4 linked regions of the Saccharomyces cerevisiae S288C genome follow. The protein of the gene in region 2 purifies or fractionates together with the protein of the main gene of each other region. This does not show direct contact. Each region holds a gene or a part of one and is shown on either strand. Other genes may lie near its edges.

Evidence for each region.
Region 1: the proteins of RTN1 (region 2) and SCS2 purify together in Saccharomyces cerevisiae (affinity purification with mass spectrometry; 2 studies listed by BioGRID). This does not show direct contact.
Region 3: the proteins of RTN1 (region 2) and POM33 purify together in Saccharomyces cerevisiae (affinity purification with western blotting; 2 studies listed by BioGRID, with this or other methods). This does not show direct contact.
Region 4: the proteins of RTN1 (region 2) and PEP4 purify together in Saccharomyces cerevisiae (affinity purification with mass spectrometry; 5 studies listed by BioGRID, with this or other methods). This does not show direct contact.

What each region holds. Positions count from the first base shown.
Region 1 is NC_001137.3:399,115-402,432, forward strand, and holds SCS2 (phosphatidylinositol-binding protein SCS2), read left to right. Parts: upstream 1-2,020; coding exon 2,021-2,755; downstream 2,756-3,318. Other genes in the region: AVT6 (aspartate/glutamate transporter), read right to left, coding at 382-1,728; YER121W (uncharacterized protein), read left to right, coding at 3,261-3,318. UniProt on the Saccharomyces cerevisiae protein: Acts as an endoplasmic reticulum (ER) membrane anchor for cytoplasmic proteins via binding to the FFAT motif of targeted proteins. Regulates phospholipid biosynthesis by modulating the subcellular localization of the transcriptional repressor OPI1.
Region 2 is NC_001136.10:928,735-931,956, reverse strand, and holds RTN1 (Rtn1p), read left to right. Parts: upstream 1-1,599; coding exon 1,600-2,487; downstream 2,488-3,222. Other genes in the region: homoaconitate hydratase LYS4, read right to left, coding at 1-828; HEM1 (5-aminolevulinate synthase), read right to left, coding at 2,859-3,222.
Region 3 is NC_001144.5:97,497-100,910, reverse strand, and holds POM33 (nucleoporin POM33), read left to right. Parts: upstream 1-2,074; coding exon 2,075-2,914; downstream 2,915-3,414. Other genes in the region: HIF1 (Hif1p), read left to right, coding at 710-1,867. UniProt on the Saccharomyces cerevisiae protein: Contributes to proper distribution and/or efficient assembly of nuclear pores. Required for normal pore density in the daughter nucleus during telophase.
Region 4 is NC_001148.4:259,213-262,998, reverse strand, and holds PEP4 (proteinase A), read left to right. Parts: upstream 1-2,067; coding exon 2,068-3,285; downstream 3,286-3,786. Other genes in the region: serine/threonine/tyrosine protein kinase RAD53, read left to right, coding at 1-1,272; KIP2 (Kip2p), read left to right, coding at 3,663-3,786. UniProt on the Saccharomyces cerevisiae protein: Aspartyl protease implicated in the post-translational regulation of S.cerevisiae vacuolar proteinases. Acts on YSCB, on YSCY and on itself.

The sequences.
Region 1 (3,318 bases), on a different chromosome or scaffold from region 2:
TGTTGTTTTCAAATTATTGGGTTGGCTACTGTTAATAACACGCCCTTTCTTTTAGCGATTCTGTTGAGCAAAGAAAGCTGATATGATAGACAATGATACCTCACTGAAAACGAGGCTCAATGACTTTATTCGTGTTCCTGTGTTCTTTGCATATTTCAGCAATCGCTGAAATTTTTATAATACGTATGAAGCAAAAGCCCGACTCCGAAAGCTGTTGTGTGTAAATAGATTGAACGCGTTGGGAATGTAAAACGCGATTAAGAATTTCTGATTTAACGCAGGTGCTAGGTTATTAATAGTTTCTTACGCGGATATGTAGGTTCAAGGGTCTATGTACGTATGGAGGAATAGCAAAAAAAGAATGAGTATACTCTTGCTTATTTAGTTTAGCTTCAAAGCTGCGGTCAGGCAGGTGATCATGATTATTAGCCCCCAGATAAACAAGAGAAGACCTGTGTATTTGAAAATCTTTGTCGTCAATGGCACGGCTGTCTTGTGCTCAGTTCCTATAAGCTTGTAGCCAAAGAGCCCGGGCAGAATGAAAGAAATAGAAGTGGAGCCTGTGGCCCCAACAATGGCCAGTACACGGGCCAAGGAGGAAACCGAAATGGCGACAAGATATGATGCAACTAAAATGCTGCACGTTATAACAATAAAGCTCTTGCCTCTCAATGGAGTCTCCTTAGGCTGATAAATAGATTCTTCTTCAATTACCTCATTGAGGTCAAGGCTACTGTCGCGAATCAACGGAGAACTTTCGGTAGCAACAGTGGGTTCATCCGCCGATGTAGCACTTATACTTACATTTTCCTCGGCGAAGTGTTGCAAAATCTGATGGATTGAAGCTCTTGCAGGATGACACTGTAGTGGGAACGCCAGCATCACCAACAACACAATCGCTATTCTGCCGATGGTGCTCGAGACCGCTTGCGGGTACAGCATGATAATGTTTCCAATGATGTTGTCGCCGAATGTCAGGTATCCAGCACAGCCGATCGCAATATATAAGATGAGAGCCAAAGATATTGCTATCAGTGGAATCTTCATCACATGCTCGAACCGGCTTGACCTCTGCTCATTGATTATTGAAAACATATTGTGGTGACATGTGTAGGCAAAGACAAAAATTGGAAGAGTGTTTAGCACGTTCAAATCATGCGATTGTGGTGGCAGGAGGTAGGAGATCCGGCCTTTCAAGCGAAGAATCTCATCTGATGGTGCTACATAGTGCAACAACACCAAAACACACAAGTACGCTACAGAAGAGATGGCCACCATGGAAGCGTACCTCAACGAATTCAACTTCTTCAGAAAAGACAGCGGGGCCACGAAAAAAAGCATGATCAGTGAAATTTGCACGTTCCTGTTCAACAGCCAAGCATTTCTGGTCCACACAGACATTATTTGGGGCATCAGATCCCCAACTACAATCATATAAGAGACGCCCACACCAAAACACTTGATAGCGATCGCTAGGTCAAACACAATACCTAGATTTGGGTTAATCAACCGCGTCAGAGCACTGAACGAGGCCCTCCCCTGTGGTACGTATTTAGCTACACGAGCTTGTATGAACAAGCTTTGCATAGCGCACGCCCCACACAGCACTATCATTATCACTCCAGGAATTAATCCAAACGGCTTGAATGCGTACGGCATGGCCAGGATACCAGCACCGCACGCCGTGTGTAAAAGTGTCAGCACACCTGATCTAATACTAGCTACCATATGATGCACGATTCCTTTCTATGGTTATTGAGCTGTGAAACTAACCCGTCGTTCGACCATTGTTGTTCTATATACTTCTAGTTGCTGTATAGATAAGCTCTCCGATCCCCTAAACGTGCGTGGTGATCTTACTCTTTCGCCCTCGCTTTTTTTTTTTCGCTTGTTGTTTTCGCAAGGTGAATAGAATGGTTTTAGTAGCAAAGTGCATTGTTTATTGTGTGGTGTGGTTTGACGCACATTCTGTGTTAATAGTGTAGCAGAAGGGTATTCTACAATCTCCGCGAACCTAAGTATGTCTGCTGTTGAAATTTCCCCTGACGTGTTGGTGTATAAGTCTCCATTAACGGAGCAATCGACAGAATACGCTAGTATTTCCAACAATTCAGACCAAACCATTGCATTTAAGGTCAAGACCACAGCCCCAAAGTTTTACTGCGTGAGACCAAACGCCGCAGTTGTTGCTCCAGGTGAAACAATCCAGGTTCAAGTTATCTTCCTGGGTTTGACTGAAGAGCCTGCCGCAGACTTTAAGTGCCGTGACAAGTTCCTGGTTATCACGTTGCCTTCTCCTTACGACCTCAATGGCAAGGCTGTTGCAGATGTTTGGTCCGACTTGGAGGCTGAGTTCAAGCAACAGGCTATCTCTAAAAAGATAAAAGTCAAATATTTGATAAGTCCAGATGTACACCCAGCACAGAACCAAAATATACAGGAAAACAAGGAAACTGTTGAACCAGTAGTCCAAGACAGTGAGCCAAAGGAAGTGCCTGCTGTGGTAAACGAAAAGGAGGTCCCTGCTGAACCGGAAACTCAACCTCCCGTCCAAGTAAAGAAAGAAGAGGTCCCACCTGTCGTTCAGAAAACCGTTCCTCATGAAAATGAGAAGCAAACGTCCAACAGCACTCCGGCCCCACAGAACCAGATAAAGGAAGCCGCAACCGTACCTGCAGAAAATGAATCATCCAGCATGGGTATATTCATATTGGTTGCACTCCTTATCTTGGTTTTAGGATGGTTCTACAGATAATAGGGAGATTGAGGATATAGCTGTATTCTAAATATATATTTATATATGTGTGTGTTTTGCCCTTTCCTTCCTTTCAGTCTTTATTTTACTTTGTTTTTCTACAATCTTTTTTTATTGTTTCCTTCTGTAGCCTTTACAATACTAGAACAAGGAACTAAAAGATCATACTTTCCTAACTTTTTTATATGTTTTATTTTTTAAATAGGAGAATAATCGATAACTATACCACTGTTGTAACATATTACTTGTTTAATTTATTCATGTTCGGTTTCCCTAGTGTAGTAGGCGCTATCTTGGGCAAATAACTATCCGTTATTAACCATAACAATGCGGGGTCTACTAAATGAGGGGAGGGTCTTGGATGCACATTAACGAAGATCTTGCGAGGGGGTCGCGCCTAAAAGGTCCATAAATAAATGAATACATAAACAGCCACCTACTTTCAGTTTGTTTTTTGCTAGGTCTCATAGTGAACGAGGGACTCACATATTGACAATATAGTAACATGGGCTTATCGCGCTGGCACGACAAGAATTCAAGGCCAGCAGAGGAAAAGAGCGAAG
Region 2 (3,222 bases):
AGTCTTTGGATTAATCCTTGGATGATTATTGGTGCCCAGCTTTTGCAAACGGTTTTTATACCAGTCGATCAAAGTTTTGTCCACGGGGAACAAACCAGAAAGAGCCCCCCACTCGGTGGTCATGTTAGCAATAGTGAGTCTGTGATCGATAGGCAATGCATTCAAAGAGTCACCCGTGAATTCAATGGCGTGATTTAGAACTTGATCATTGTTGAAAAGCCCACATAATGCGACAATGATATCTTTTCCGGAAACACCCTGAGGCAATTGACCTTTCAACTCAACCTGAGCCACTGGTGGGATCTGCCACCACGTCTGTCCCGTGGCCCATATGGCTGCAGCGTCTGTTCTCACTATTGGAGTGCCCAGCGACCCCAGACCACCGTAGGTGTTTGAATGCGAGTCAGATGCGACAGTCATGTTCAAGGGGAAAGCATAGCCCTCCTCAATCATAATTTGATGACCAATACCTCTACCGGCAGGGTAGTGGTCTATATGGTGTTTCTTAGCAAAATTTTCGATGTTCTTGTACTTGGTCAAATTTTTCTCTGATTTGTTCTGAATATCGTGGTCCAGAGTGGTCACAATCTGTGAAGGATTCTTGATCTTGGTAGCGCCAAGCCCCATGAATTTCAAAGCTACAGGCCACGAATTATCGTGGGACATACAGTGTGCCGGCTTGATCGATACATAGTCACCAGAATGCACAACTTTACCCTCGGGAAGGTTGACCGCATACGACTGAACAATTTTTTCAGTTAGGTTCTGACCTTTCAACCAGGCCCTAGAACTGTGGAACGAACGAGTAAATGTGGTTGATCGTAGCATCTTGAAGCGATACAATTTTGTTTCCTTGCAAGTTCTATTTTATTGAAAAAGTGATATTGTCTACTATAAGAGGCAGCGCAAAACTAGCTATTGCACACACAAACACACGAGGATTCTTTTGTATATATAAATACCTATGGGGATATATATATATATATATATATGTGCGTGTCTGTACGTGTGTGTGGACATGAGATTGTGTATACCTGTGTATGTTGGTGATATTTGCTGCCTCTGGTATAGACTCATCGATTACAAAATTTCAGTCATCTCGAGCAAAATCCCGGGGGAAAAAACAATAAAAATTTTTTTTTTCCAAATCGCTCCATTCTGCTCACTTGACACGAAATTGTTTATCACTTGATACGTGTACATTTTACCGGGTTTGCGGTAATTTCGCACGAACAAGCAGTGAAAAAAGTCATAGGAAAATTTTTCACCGTAGCAGCCAACGCAGTTGCGTTTTTTCCAGTTTTTCCAACACCAGAGGACAGCTTTGGCTATTCTTTTCGGTGTTTGGTGCTGTTGTATCGCTGGCTTGTGGTATCTTCTGTTTCCTATTTAAAGTTGGTCAGTGCCCCCTTTCCAGTGGGCTTCTCCCCTGTGTGGGCTGTTTCTCTTCTATGGCACTTCAACTTCGCATTTTTCAAATTTTTATTCAACAATTCCCTTTTCTTGATCTCTTTCTTTTCAACTCTCAAGCCAAATATTTAATTGTTTCTTCCTACCCGCAAGCGTATATATATATAATATATATTCACACACGCAAATATGTCCGCCTCAGCTCAACATAGCCAAGCCCAACAACAACAACAACAAAAAAGCTGTAATTGCGATTTGCTATTATGGAGGAACCCTGTTCAAACCGGTAAATATTTCGGTGGGTCTCTGTTAGCCTTGTTAATTTTGAAAAAAGTTAACTTGATCACTTTCTTTTTGAAGGTTGCCTACACTATCTTATTCACAACAGGATCTATTGAATTCGTATCCAAGCTCTTTTTGGGACAAGGTTTAATCACCAAGTATGGTCCTAAAGAATGTCCAAATATCGCCGGCTTTATTAAGCCTCATATCGATGAAGCTTTGAAACAGCTACCAGTCTTCCAAGCCCACATAAGAAAGACTGTATTCGCTCAAGTCCCTAAGCACACTTTCAAGACCGCTGTTGCCTTATTTCTACTACACAAATTCTTCTCCTGGTTCTCTATCTGGACCATCGTCTTTGTTGCTGACATTTTTACCTTCACTTTGCCAGTTATCTACCATTCCTACAAGCATGAAATTGATGCTACTGTCGCTCAAGGTGTAGAAATTTCTAAGCAAAAGACCCAAGAGTTTTCTCAAATGGCTTGCGAAAAGACAAAACCATACTTGGACAAGGTTGAATCTAAATTGGGCCCAATTTCCAACTTGGTCAAATCTAAGACTGCTCCTGTGTCTTCTACTGCCGGTCCTCAAACCGCCAGCACTTCTAAGTTGGCCGCTGATGTTCCATTGGAACCAGAGTCTAAGGCTTACACATCTTCAGCTCAAGTTATGCCAGAAGTTCCACAACACGAACCTTCCACTACCCAAGAATTTAACGTCGATGAATTGTCTAATGAATTGAAGAAAAGTACAAAAAACTTGCAAAATGAATTGGAAAAAAACAACGCTTGAGTGCTTTTTTTTTTTCATTTCAAACAAGAATAGCTAACTTTTGTCTCTTTATTTACCACTACATATTACATTAGCCTATATATACTCATACGTTTCTCTCTCTTTACTTTCTGTACCCCCGAGGAAAAATACATAAATTATTTTTGAACTTTCCCTGCTTTTTTACCAACATTGCTACAGTTTAACCATTGCAGTTAAAAGTGCTCATCGTGTTAGTTAAATAAATAAATAATTAAGAGAAATAATAATAAAGTATCATACATAAATAAGAATAAAAAAAAAAAATGAAAAAAAAAAACTGTTAATTTTTTTTTTTACTGATTTACAAATTCCTTGTACCTCTATCTCAGCCCATGCATATATTGGTTGTTTTACTGCTTGATACCACTAGAAACCTCTAGTTGTTTAACGATGGGGTCTCTAACATTAGGGTTCAAGTCGTCATTAGTTAAAGATAGTTGGCTTGATGTCCATAAGTTAGACTCTTCCACAAATCCGCTCTCTCCAACACCCAATAAGCCACCTTGGCTTTCCCAGTCTCTGACACGTGGTAACTGTAGCTCATTGAACACATCATCAACTGCATTGATTAAGATGTCAGATAAATCGTTGGTGTGACCTGGCGTTGGGGTAATTCTCAATCTTTCGGTACCGCGAGCAACCGTAGGGAAGTTGATAGCTTGTACGTAGATTTGATGCTTATTGATTAAGATGTCAGAAGCTTGCTTAGCCAAA
Region 3 (3,414 bases), on a different chromosome or scaffold from region 2:
GTGGCTCGTATTGCGTTATTCCTCACGCCTTGATTTGAATCTTCGTCTCACGTGGTTTCTCAGCGTCTTTCACACGCTTCTGACCAAATTTATCTTACCGAACTATACGTAGCTATGTGTTGCTTTCTGCTGAAAGAACTCGATAATAGAATATTATTCTCAAAATACTTCAAAGTTTATTCTCATCGTTTCCAAAAACGCGTCACGCATCACCCGGCGCAGTATTTCTTCTTCCTTTTCCGCCATAAAAAGTCATAATAATAAGCCTATCTCAAGATTCTTATACTACTTTTAACAGTTTTATTGATAACTTACTTACGTTAGACCATCTTTTTTGTGCAAACCTTTGGTAAAAAAAAAGAACTGCGCTACCTTCTCCTAGTTTATGTATGGTACGGCAACTCATAGTTAGTTTTCTGTGCCCGTTTTAAGCACGACTTGAACTTACGTGATTATATGTATACAGTGCATGTTTTTATATAGAAAAATAAAAAAATGGGGTTACGTAGTCGAAGGATATAGCAGTGTCTAAAAACTTGCAAGAGCACTCGTAGCTCCCCGGCAGTGGAATCTTACCACTTCTCAGAGAATGTCGGAACGATATGTTACTGCACTGAAGTTTCGCGTTTTTTCCAATTTTGTATTATTTCATTCTACTCAATTTTGAGGTAACATCGGCGATGAGGTCTCCTTCTAGAAGTAACAGAATATGAAACTAAGGGCAGAAGACGTGTTGGCAAACGGAACTAGCAGACATAAAGTTCAAATTGATATGGAAAGACAGGTTCAAATTGCAAAAGATTTACTCGCACAGAAAAAGTTCTTAGAAGCTGCTAAACGCTGCCAACAAACTTTGGACTCTCTCCCAAAAGATGGTTTGTTGCCTGATCCTGAACTGTTTACTATATTCGCACAAGCTGTATACAACATGGAAGTACAGAATTCTGGTAATCTGTTTGGGGACGCTCTTCTGGCAGGTGACGATGGATCTGGGTCTGAGTCTGAGTCTGAGCCTGAGTCTGATGTGAGCAATGGAGAAGAGGGGAACGAGAACGGTCAAACAGAAATTCCTAATTCTAGGATGTTCCAATTCGACCAAGAAGAGGAAGACTTGACTGGTGATGTCGACAGTGGTGATAGTGAGGACAGTGGCGAAGGTAGCGAAGAAGAGGAAGAAAACGTGGAGAAAGAGGAAGAACGCTTAGCTTTGCACGAATTGGCTAACTTCAGTCCAGCGAATGAACATGACGATGAAATTGAAGACGTATCGCAACTTCGCAAGTCTGGTTTCCACATTTACTTTGAAAATGATCTGTATGAGAATGCTTTGGACCTACTGGCGCAGGCCTTGATGCTGTTGGGCCGCCCTACAGCAGATGGCCAATCTCTAACCGAGAACAGCAGATTGCGCATCGGTGATGTGTATATCCTGATGGGTGACATCGAAAGGGAGGCGGAGATGTTCAGTAGAGCCATTCATCATTACTTGAAGGCGCTTGGCTATTACAAGACCTTGAAACCCGCAGAACAAGTAACTGAGAAGGTGATACAAGCAGAATTTTTGGTGTGTGATGCTTTAAGGTGGGTTGATCAGGTGCCGGCTAAGGACAAACTAAAAAGATTCAAGCATGCCAAGGCTCTGCTTGAAAAACACATGACTACAAGACCCAAGGACAGCGAGTTACAGCAGGCAAGGCTCGCACAGATTCAAGACGATATTGATGAGGTGCAAGAAAATCAGCAGCACGGCTCCAAGAGGCCTCTTTCGCAGCCCACGACCTCCATCGGCTTCCCCGCCCTCGAAAAGCCCCTTGGTGACTTCAATGATCTCTCTCAACTGGTCAAGAAGAAGCCTAGAAGGCATTGATAGTTTTGTGTAAAATGTAGCAACCTACATACGTAATGTATATTTCTCCTTCTTTGGTACGGCGAAAGGGCCCCATTTTAAAAGGGTGAAAAAATATTTAAAGAGCAAGCAGACCATCCCTGAAATGACATACTTACTACATCTAAAAAAAGTCATTTTTCTCTATTCATAAGGAGCAAGAAACACTAGCCAAGAATAGTCAGTATAATGTCATCAAGACCCGCTAATAACCAAGGCCCCCCAAACCTCCCTGCCAGAGATAAGTCGCTCGTGCAAAGGTTCATGGCAGTAGCCAAGAGCTTGCAGTTTGCATGGTTTACCGGTCATTCCGTCGTATTGATCAGCTCCATTCTTTACCTGCTCAAGATGTCAGAATTTTATTACAGATCGGCATATCTCGGTGTCATCGAATCTTTCGGTATCATCATTTACCAGCAATTTTTCACCCGCAATGAACCATTGCAGACTCAAGATGCCGCTGCCACTAAGGCTTCCATAAAATCACGCGTTGCTGGACTCCTAAAGAGTGAAGACGTGCTTTATTTGGTTTTGGCCAACTTCTGGTTGTTCACTCCAAGATTTTCATTCAGCTTAATCCCATTTTTCGCGTTTGCTGTATTCCATGTTTTAATCTACGTTGAAAAAGTTCTCTTACCAAAAGTCTTCCACCTTTCCAGTAAAGATTCAAGTAAGATCCTCAGCTTCATCGACAAGTTTGTTGTTCAGTACAATGACTTGTGCATGCACTGGGTCGGTACTGCTGAGCTGCTTATTTTCATTTTGGTCCTTTTCAGAGCCATTCTGTGCTTCCAAAGGTCTTGGATCATACTTGTTGTGTACGCCATCTTTATTAAGTTAAGATACGAAAACTCCAAGTACATGAAAGCCGCCTTTGCTCAATGGAGAGTTAGAATGGACGGGATCATAAGCCACCCATCTATCCCACCATTCGTCAAAAGAGCTTATAATGCAATTAAAATGAGCTTGATCCGCTTGTCTGAGTACCGCTTAAGCGGTGCCCCACAAGTGACCAAGAAGCAGAATTGAGTTTTATTATTACTTTTTACAAGTTCAATACCTTCTAATTACTTTGTATAACATTCCACTCCTCTCTTTTGCTTTTTGTTACAATTTGTTATATATTTTTTATCAATTTTATATCTTTATTCCTTGAATTGAGTTACTCAACCAACCCTTTTACGGTCTCACAGTGGTGAATTGACTGCATGGCACTGCATTCTTACTCTCTCTTGGGCCCTTATTCGTAGTATTTCCGAAGCTTTTTTTTCCGAGAAGTTCTTCCGATTCACTTTCTCGAAGTTTTTTTCTAGAACATTCCATCGAAGATTTCGAAAAAAAAAGCTTCGAGGTTTTGACGAAATTTCATTCTTAAGCACTATGGGAAGGTGTGGACGAATTGTTATATATAAGCCGCAATTGGGCTGGGTTTTCTCCAAAAAATGTTGAAAATATAATACTCTCTTATTTAAGTTACTTCTATTCTTCAATTGATTAATTCCAACAGATCAAGCAGATTTTATACAGAA
Region 4 (3,786 bases), on a different chromosome or scaffold from region 2:
TATGTTATCCTAACGGGCCACTTACCTTTTAGTGGTAGCACACAGGACCAATTATATAAACAGATTGGAAGAGGCTCATATCATGAAGGGCCCCTCAAAGATTTCCGGATATCTGAAGAAGCAAGAGATTTCATAGATTCATTGTTACAGGTGGATCCAAATAATAGGTCGACAGCTGCAAAAGCCTTGAATCATCCCTGGATCAAGATGAGTCCATTGGGCTCACAATCATATGGTGATTTTTCACAAATATCCTTATCACAATCGTTGTCGCAGCAGAAATTATTAGAAAATATGGACGATGCTCAATACGAATTTGTCAAAGCGCAAAGGAAATTACAAATGGAGCAACAACTTCAAGAACAGGATCAGGAAGACCAAGATGGAAAAATTCAAGGATTTAAAATACCCGCACACGCCCCTATTCGATATACACAGCCCAAAAGCATTGAAGCAGAAACTAGAGAACAAAAACTTTTACATTCCAATAATACTGAGAATGTCAAGAGCTCAAAGAAAAAGGGTAATGGTAGGTTTTTAACTTTAAAACCATTGCCTGACAGCATTATTCAAGAAAGCCTGGAGATTCAGCAAGGTGTGAATCCATTTTTCATTGGTAGATCCGAGGATTGCAATTGTAAAATTGAAGACAATAGGTTGTCTCGAGTTCATTGCTTCATTTTCAAAAAGAGGCATGCTGTAGGCAAAAGCATGTATGAATCTCCGGCACAAGGTTTAGATGATATTTGGTATTGCCACACCGGAACTAACGTGAGCTATTTAAATAATAACCGCATGATACAGGGTACGAAATTCCTTTTACAAGACGGAGATGAAATCAAGATCATTTGGGATAAAAACAATAAATTTGTCATTGGCTTTAAAGTGGAAATTAACGATACTACAGGTCTGTTTAACGAGGGATTAGGTATGTTACAAGAACAAAGAGTAGTACTTAAGCAAACAGCCGAAGAAAAAGATTTGGTGAAAAAGTTAACCCAGATGATGGCAGCTCAACGTGCAAATCAACCCTCGGCTTCTTCTTCATCAATGTCGGCTAAGAAGCCGCCAGTTAGCGATACAAATAATAACGGCAATAATTCGGTACTAAACGACTTGGTAGAGTCACCGATTAATGCGAATACGGGGAACATTTTGAAGAGAATACATTCGGTAAGTTTATCGCAATCACAAATTGATCCTAGTAAGAAGGTTAAAAGGGCAAAATTGGACCAAACCTCAAAAGGCCCCGAGAATTTGCAATTTTCGTAACCAAGGACAAATACCCATAGAAAATGCTGCCCCTTTTTAAGAGAGAAGATGGTAGATACCAATACTCAGAATTCATCTATTCATAACTTTTTGGGTTTTTATTACATATAGAGTGACGTTTTGATACGATTTACATTTTGAAATATATAGATTTTTGTATATTAATAAGTTTTGATTTTCAGTTTTAGTTATGCTTAATGAATTTTTGAATCAGAAAAAGAAGTTCTGAAAAAAACATAATCCTGCTTGATGTGGTACAACAAGCTCATAAATAATTTTAAAAAGTTTGTTAATCCGTTTTCAATATCTTGAGCTCCTCAATTGTATTTGCTGAGGTCTGATTATTTCTATAACCAAAAGCGGTTATTGAATCTATGGAGAGGCTGTAACCCGTCTTATGCCTTCCGGGTACTATATTTCATTTGCGGGTGTCGATGGATTAAGGGGCGGAGGCGGCCCTTTTTAGGATTTATATAAAAAGCCATACTTCCGTACTTCGTAACCTCTTATCAACTGGTTAAGGGAACAGAGTAAAGAAGTTTGGGTAATTCGCTGCTATTTATTCATTCCACCTTCTTCTTTTTTGAGCGAAGCCTTTATAATCAAATTTTAGTGGTCTTTTCTATTTTTATTTGAGAAGCCTACCACGTAAGGGAAGAATAACAAAAAGTATATCTCACCCTACTGTATTCATAAAAAGTTTTTTCTATTAGAATTCTATAAGAAAAGAAAAAAAAAAAGCCTAGTGACCTAGTATTTAATCCAAATAAAATTCAAACAAAAACCAAAACTAACATGTTCAGCTTGAAAGCATTATTGCCATTGGCCTTGTTGTTGGTCAGCGCCAACCAAGTTGCTGCAAAAGTCCACAAGGCTAAAATTTATAAACACGAGTTGTCCGATGAGATGAAAGAAGTCACTTTCGAGCAACATTTAGCTCATTTAGGCCAAAAGTACTTGACTCAATTTGAGAAAGCTAACCCCGAAGTTGTTTTTTCTAGGGAGCATCCTTTCTTCACTGAAGGTGGTCACGATGTTCCATTGACAAATTACTTGAACGCACAATATTACACTGACATTACTTTGGGTACTCCACCTCAAAACTTCAAGGTTATTTTGGATACTGGTTCTTCAAACCTTTGGGTTCCAAGTAACGAATGTGGTTCCTTGGCTTGTTTCCTACATTCTAAATACGATCATGAAGCTTCATCAAGCTACAAAGCTAATGGTACTGAATTTGCCATTCAATATGGTACTGGTTCTTTGGAAGGTTACATTTCTCAAGACACTTTGTCCATCGGGGATTTGACCATTCCAAAACAAGACTTCGCTGAGGCTACCAGCGAGCCGGGCTTAACATTTGCATTTGGCAAGTTCGATGGTATTTTGGGTTTGGGTTACGATACCATTTCTGTTGATAAGGTGGTCCCTCCATTTTACAACGCCATTCAACAAGATTTGTTGGACGAAAAGAGATTTGCCTTTTATTTGGGAGACACTTCAAAGGATACTGAAAATGGCGGTGAAGCCACCTTTGGTGGTATTGACGAGTCTAAGTTCAAGGGCGATATCACTTGGTTACCTGTTCGTCGTAAGGCTTACTGGGAAGTCAAGTTTGAAGGTATCGGTTTAGGCGACGAGTACGCCGAATTGGAGAGCCATGGTGCCGCCATCGATACTGGTACTTCTTTGATTACCTTGCCATCAGGATTAGCTGAAATGATTAATGCTGAAATTGGGGCCAAGAAGGGTTGGACCGGTCAATATACTCTAGACTGTAACACCAGAGACAATCTACCTGATCTAATTTTCAACTTCAATGGCTACAACTTCACTATTGGGCCATACGATTACACGCTTGAAGTTTCAGGCTCCTGTATCTCTGCAATTACACCAATGGATTTCCCAGAACCTGTTGGCCCACTGGCCATCGTTGGTGATGCCTTCTTGCGTAAATACTATTCTATTTACGATTTGGGCAACAATGCGGTTGGTTTGGCCAAAGCAATTTGAGCTAAACTTTTCTTACTTCTCCGCCCTATCCTTTTCTGCCATCTAGAGAGCTTTTATAAGTAGATAACAATAAAAAAAACTATAGTATATTTAAAAAAAAAAAACAAGACAAACCATCTTGTCCTCAGTTTTAGAATCCATTGTTCTATGCTGCTGCCCATAATGTCATTATATGCGGGTAGCCCGATGATGCGGCTCGAGAATTTCCTTGTTTATCCTTTTCCAATAGCGGAACAATTGATAATAAAGCAATGTAAGCAGAAGCGAAAAATAAAAAGAAATAGGCTGCAGAGATTCACAGGCTGCGCTCTAGAAACATTTGAAATCAAGGCAAACATAGAACACTTGATAAAATTCTTACCATAATACCACCATTGATGATTCAAAAAATGAGCCCAAGCTTAAGGAGGCCATCAACGAGGTCTAGTTCTGGTTCAAGTAATATCCCACAATCGCCCTCTGTACGATCAACTTCATCGTTTTCTAATCTGACAAGAAACT